Linked DNA regions of Xenopus tropicalis. The protein of the gene in region 1 interacts with the protein of each later gene in a pairwise test. Links are inferred from orthologs where the notes say so. Each region holds a gene or a part of one and is shown in the gene's direction. Other genes may lie near its edges. The genes, in order: kdrl and shc2.

Region 1 (3,835 bases):
GGAGCAGTGAACCCAAAATATTGGCCTAATGAAAAAAAACTAATTATAAATAACTTTCTAATATATTTATCACAAAATGTACAGTCCAATAGATTCTTCTAACCATGTTTCCCATACAAATGATTCACCCCTCCATATTGGGTTCGTATTCTCTGATAGTCCCAGTTGCTTCAGTTTAAATATTGGTTAATAACACCTTTTTGACCAGTAAAAATGTATATTAAATATAATTCAGAATAATTATTCAAAGGTAGTTTCTAAATTCATTGGGGGTTTTTTCGAGTAACTGGCAAAACCTTTTTCCCTGTTTAGCTCAAAGAATAACAAAAACCATACATTTTTATGGTTAAAACAATGGTCAACAAGCCATTTTTTCATTGCACTGATGCTGAACAAAAGGAAATACTGTTCTTTGAAATATATTTTTGTCTTGCACATATAAAAATACATGTTTCTGTGTCTGCTTCAGAGTCTAATAGTCCTGACTTTGCTCCTTCTTTTGGTCTATAATGTACTTTTTTGTCAATAGAAGTGTTATAGAAATGCACAGCACTGCTATACAATAACATTATAAAGATATACATTATAAAGATATACATTTCATAGAAAACCTTACTAATAAGTGGTCCTATGGACCACAACAATTGTTTGTGTTTTATACAATGGCAAGGTTATTCTTTGAAAAAAGGTTGCTACATCCCATAAACATGCATAAAGCTAATTATTTGTGGGATAGAGTTCATCATTATATATTGTCAGATAACATATGAGTTCCCATGTAAAGTTTTATATTTGTAACCATTTTGCAGGCATTACCCTTGTGTACAATAGCACTCTGGTCATTGAGAGGGTGAAGAAGGATGACGAAGGGGTATATATATGTGAAGCTGTGAATGAACTGGGGAAAGTCAGTACATCTGCCTTCATTACAGTACAAGGTATGCTATGTAGCAGAACAGTCTCACCTAAGGGGCCAGTATTTCTAATCTTAAATATGCAATGTCCTTATATACTCATGAAATCTGACAGGAGGGGGCATAAGGAAGAAAAAGCGATTTGGTGATTTACCCAGCTCCCTTCTACAGCAAGTTATGGCCAAGTGTCCTGACATATTGGTTTCTCAGTGGCACCCTATTGAATGTATTCATACATTGGATTATTGCAGAGCCAACAAAATAGAAACATTTTACTTGTTATCTGTAATTGATTAGTATGCCTTTCATTGTAGGTGTCGAGGAAAAATCAAACATCGAAGTGATCATCCTCGTCTGTACAGGGGTGGCAGCCACATTGTTTTGGCTACTTCTTACCTTATTCATACGAAAGCTGAAAAAGGTATGTGATTGCCTTCAAGTTAAACGTAGATCAGCTTTGTGAGCCTTATGTGAGTTGACTTGTTGCCATGATCACACAGTCAGTTTCGGTTTGAAATTCACCTACAGGGCACATATTTTGAGTCATTTGCACAGGTGCAGGTAGTTTCCATTTATACACAGTGCATAGGGGCAAGGCATGATAACATCAGCGATTTCATGAATATGACAGCCAGCCACACCCAATATGGCAGTTCACTTTTTCCAGTCCACAATGAATGGAATTACTGATCTGCAGACTACCAACTAACATTCTATACTATTGGTAAATCTGTTTTGCATTCGTGCATGCCTACTCAGTGTTTTTCTACCAACCTCTTTTCTGAAGATTTTGTTTTTGACAAGCATGAGGACCCAAGGAAGTAAACCTATAAGTATGTATTGTAAAACACTGCTGGGGGGCAGAAAAAAGAAAGCAGATGCTCAGTTGTGTGTGACGTTACAAATGTTGCCTGTGTTACAAAATCCCATTTATCATTGCAAAATGACCTATAGGTAGCCTATACACATATTTCCAGTAACTAAAATAACATTTTCATAACATTATTACCATACAGTAGAGTTGTTTGCTACCCTGCCTGTTTATGCCAAACACATACAATAATGATAATAATAATAATAAACTCTATTAACAGATTCTAGAAAGACAAAACAGGATTATGATAATGACAGGAAAAAAAGCATAATTATTTAATTAATTTTGTGGATTATAATATAAATCCTTTCAGTTTTAATCCACTGCAATTATGACTTATGTCATTTACTAGTATTTACATAAATTGTCTACAATAACCAAGAGTTGTCTGTCAAAGGTTGTAACAGTTGTAAATCAAATTCAGACACACTAGGCATTTGATTGCTACTGGAAATTATGGCAACATCTAGGGGGTACCTGCAGGGCTGCTTATCACTGGCAGTGTGAAGAGTCTCTGCTGAGCTATAAGCATAGTTTGTATGCTAGAGTCCCAAGCACTAATCTCCATGGCAGAGTTTGCTAAATAGATGTGTCTACCCAAAGATGCTTACTTGTTTTTTATGCATGTGGGGCATTTATGTACTATCCAGAATGCTTGGGACATGGGGTCTTTCCATACCTGTATTTCATGCCACATTGAATAGCAAAGTATCGATGTAGCTAATAGATCTCTTTTTAAAATAAGTTACAATATTTTGTGACCTGTTTAACTATATGTGACTTGTCGGATTAGATGAGTCAATCCAAGGTTGTCCGAGGAAATCTATCAAATAGTTCAGCCTTGATTTAAGGCTAGTGCCACACTGGGTGGATTCTCGGCCTGCGGATAAATGCAGGGTGAGAATCCGTCCCTAAGAAAAATCTAAGCCACACTAAGCGAAATGTGGCGCAAAACTGCATGTGCGTTTATCCACAGGGAGAGAATCCGCCCCATGTGGGACTAGCTTGAGAGTTTCAAGAAGTTTTATAATGTGTTTAAATTAATGGACTAAATTTCATGGACTAAACTTGTTGCTGAAATTTTCATTGCAGCCACATGGCTCCGACATGAAGACAGGTTATCTGTCCATTATTATGGACCCAGATGAGATACCTCTGGATGAGCAGTGTGAAAGGCTGCCCTACGACAGCAGCAAGTGGGAATTTCCCCGTGACAGACTCAGCCTTGGTAAGTGGAAATAGACAGTCTCCTGTATGTAAGTCCTGAGTTACAGAATAACAATGCAGTTGGCTCTTCTTTATAGAATATTTCTATATCCAAATATTGTCTAAAAATACTTGTATGTTTAAAGATTTTATCCCATCCAGTTTCTTTGCTGACGTCTTTGATGTCTGTCCTTATCTCTGTTTTTTCCAACCTGCTCACTCTATCACAAGGGAGTTTTTCTCCTGTAAATCTTTAGTTGTGAATTCCCCGATGACCTACACATTCCTTCACCTTAGAGTACATGGTGCTGCTTTTTTATCTATATAGCAACACATAAAAATTGTACAGATATAAACAGTGGCTGCTTGAATTTTGAAAAGAAAATCTGATGGCATATGTCCACTGAGATAATTTTTGTTTATTCTCATTCCTCTGCTGCAGTACAGTTGTACAGTTGTATACTTACTTGCCAAACATGACCATTATAGGACTGGTATGTCAATCTAGTATGGTCAATATCTTCCATAGCATTACATCTCCTTAGAACATGTCCGGAGTATGGACTCTATATGACCACTATATGCTTACAATTTCCTGCAGAATTGTTTGGAGAGCAGGGGAAATCCAAGCTGGATGGTACAATTTTTTTTGTACAGGATATGACCAAACCAAAACATTTGTTCTTGCTATGGGAAGTTCCATCTATGGCTCTTGCGGGGGTAGTAATATCATAAAAGTCATAAGCCTCTTTTATAAAATGTACTGTTCTAATCATCTTTTTTCAGGATCTCACTGTTGATATATTAAGTTTATTAACTGATGATTGGAAAAAACTGTTTT
Region 2 (3,216 bases), on another chromosome or scaffold:
TCTATGGGGAGTCATTCTGGAAAGAGAAAATTGTCTCTACATATTTAAACAGTACATTTAATAGGGCTCTGCTTCTATAATAGCTCCTGTTTACAGTAATCATGTGACACTGATCTAATAAACAGCTAGTTTGACTGTGTTCTGGTTTTTCTCATCTCTACCCTCGTCATTCATTACTACTTCTCCTGGGCAGCAACGTCATCTCAAGTGCATTTATTTCTATTAGCAGAAAGCACATTCACATGGAAGTTCTCCAGTTTATTACCTTGGGAGCTCAGTTCACATGAAACCCAGAGGGTTCAATAAAGTTAATTTATTCATTACTATAATGACTAAAAAACAATAACTGTTGTGAAAATATTGCTACGTTACTAGGTATTCCATAAAGAATGTTTCATCTATCACACAACTCTCCATAGGTTGCTTGTGGGGACAGAGGAGCCAGCATGGGGTGGAGAAGAAGAGCAAGAACATAATTATTACAACAGCATCCCTGGCAAAGAACCCCCACTGGGGGGGCTGCAAGACAGTCGAATAAGGGAAGCAGGAGCCACTGGACAGCTTAGCACCCAAATCAATATAAATGGGCAGTGGTCCCAGGTATGTATTTTACCTTTTTCCTTATTATTTCTCCCCCCTCCCCCCCTTTCTACATTAACTACAAACAGTTAAATTGAAAGGCTTACATATAAAGATCTGCCATTTCTCCCATTTCAGGTTGGATCTCCAGCTAGAAAGCCTGCTGTATCACATTCTTGTTCACAGTGGGACCTTGAGGACCAAGGTAGGTATAGTATAAATCAGTGATCCCCAACCAGTGGCTCGTGAGCAACATGTTGCTCTCCAACCCCTTGGATGTTGCTCCCAGTGGCCTCAGAGCAATTGCTCATTTTTGAATTCTTTGCTTGGAGGCAAGTTTTGGTTGCATAAAAACCAGGTTTACTGCCAAACAGAACCTCCTGTAGGCTACTAGTCCACATAGGGGCTACCAAATAACCAATAACAATCCTTATTTGGCACCCCCGGAACATGTTTTATGCTTGTGTTGCTCCCCAAGTCTTTTAACATTTGAATGTGGCTCACAAGTAAAAAAGGTTGGGGATCTCTGGTATAAATGGTGTATTGTCAATAGCCCTGAGTGCAGGGCTGAACAGCACCTGAATAGCACCAGTTTGTTCATTACTGAATTCTTTCTGCCTCAGCACAGGCCAGCGAAGGGTTTCCACTGACTAATGGTCGGGCCTTTGGTGTACGCGATTATGAAGAACACATGTATGTAAATACACAGAACCTTGATGGTCTTGTTGCTGACAAGGAACCATACATGATTCCAGAGGATAGTCCCAAGAAGGATCTCTTTGACATGAGTAAGTGTATATAGGGAAGGAGGAATATTAGCATTTTCAATACCTGAAATAAAACTTGGTTGTTCACTGGGAATGATGGTTGACTCTGTAATAAAGAACCATTATAAGATGTATATACTGTATATGGGCTTGGGGCGGGGTGTGGGGCTTAAAAGAATATTTCATATTCTGAGCTGATTTATGATTGCTCTGTAATTTCTTACCAAGTGCTTATGAAAGTTGCCAATTGGTAAAATATTAGCTTTAAGATTTTACCAGTGTCTGAATCAGATGTGTTAAGATAACATGGTAGCCCTGTTTTCTTATTTATCTCCATTTGCTTAAGGACCATTTGAAGATGCTCTAAAGCTGCATGAGTCTTCTTTATCAGCATCTCAAAGTTTAGAAGATCAGTGGCCAAGCCCCCCAACCAGAAGAGCGCCGGTGGCTCCCACAGAGGAACAGCTGAGAGGGGAACCATGGTACCAAGGGAAGATGAGCAGAAGGGAGGCTGAAAAGTTGCTACAGCGAGATGGAGATTTCCTAGTGCGTGATAGCATAACAAACCCTGGGCAGTATGTCCTGACGGGTATGCACAAAGGGCAACCCAAACATCTTCTCTTGGTGGATCCAGAGGGCGTGGTAAGAGACTTTTTCATTATTATACAGATATAGAGGAATTGGTGTATATTGCATTTTTCCTCTACCCTAATGAACCAGAGAATCAATGGGTGTTTACAGATATACAAGTACTAAAGGAGTACAATCTTGAAGGTTATGGTGTTGGTGCTTGTATAAGTTTTTTTTAAATCAAGACACATTATCGTAAGCCACTGATTAACTTGTCAGAACAAAATGCAAGGCAGATTCCACACATTAAAAGGCACAGTCAGGCAATGCAGGTAATTTGTAATGAAGGTCAGTAGGGCTCAATAACTAAACACTGGGAAAACTGCCTATTACACAGTAACATATAGTAACAATTTAGAGATTTGCTTCATTTTTATATCTTTAGCGCACAACTCAAAGCTTATTGTAGATTGTTTGCTACTACTGTCAGTTTGCTCAGTCTCTGTAAATGAGCCCCAGTGTATCCATATAAGCAATATTTCTTACCAGGGCAGTGCACTAACAGTATCATCTACTGGTGCTAGTGGCACTGCAATATGCAGTCCCGGATTTGTGGCAAGGCCACAAAGGCCTTCGCTTAGGGTGCACAAATTTATGGGCGCCATGCTGTCCAGCCATGCTTGAATTTCGCTTACATATGGAGTACTGGGGTCTAAGCACTGGAGATTTCTGCCTGTCCTGTCCCCAGTGCTCTGCGTGCAAGATGTGCTTCTGGGGGTGGGGCGGCTGGCAGGGGGCAGCCTCTGGGCGCTCATCGGACAAATCTGGTGCTGGCAATATGAAACTATTTGCTTAAGCACACAATAATTTGATATCTAAATAGGTCAAAATCAGTGTGCATTTTAATTACAAACAAATACTTCTCTTCTTGTATACCACTAAAATTAAATCAACCCCAAACACATTATTTTGCATCATTACCTGCAACTGTACATTGCCAAATAGATTCTGTATGTAATTCACACAAAAGAAGGATTAAAAAAGTAAGCAGGTATTTCTTTCCTCTACAGGGTGGCACAGAGGTATGGTAAGGTATATGGGAAACCAGTTTATTTAAAAGCTATAGCACAGTGATTCTTAAAAGCTAGGTCTGGTCCCCAAAATGGGTCCTTGTGTTCTTTATTGCTTTCATATACACAGTGAAATATCCTGCAAATGGTATTTCAATCAGAGTAAATCGTTTTAAACCAGTTTCTGAGTTACAAAGTTAACTCTCAGACTTTGTGTCCCCACAGAAAAA

The links.
Region 2: the proteins of kdrl (region 1) and shc2 interact in a two-hybrid assay, tested with the Homo sapiens proteins (2 studies listed by BioGRID). The link is inferred for Xenopus tropicalis from reciprocal best matches to the Homo sapiens genes FLT1 and SHC2.

The regions. Positions count from the first base shown.
Region 1 is NC_030684.2:46,963,451-46,967,285, forward strand, and holds part of kdrl (vascular endothelial growth factor receptor kdr-like), read left to right. Parts: intron 1-809; coding exon 810-938; intron 939-1,228; coding exon 1,229-1,335; intron 1,336-2,880; coding exon 2,881-3,016; intron 3,017-3,835. UniProt on the Homo sapiens protein: Tyrosine-protein kinase that acts as a cell-surface receptor for VEGFA, VEGFB and PGF, and plays an essential role in the development of embryonic vasculature, the regulation of angiogenesis, cell survival, cell migration, macrophage function, chemotaxis, and cancer cell invasion.
Region 2 is NC_030677.2:105,531,313-105,534,528, reverse strand, and holds part of shc2 (SHC-transforming protein 2), read left to right. Parts: intron 1-419; coding exon 420-600; intron 601-717; coding exon 718-784; intron 785-1,202; coding exon 1,203-1,367; intron 1,368-1,692; coding exon 1,693-1,988; intron 1,989-3,216. UniProt on the Homo sapiens protein: Signaling adapter that couples activated growth factor receptors to signaling pathway in neurons. Involved in the signal transduction pathways of neurotrophin-activated Trk receptors in cortical neurons.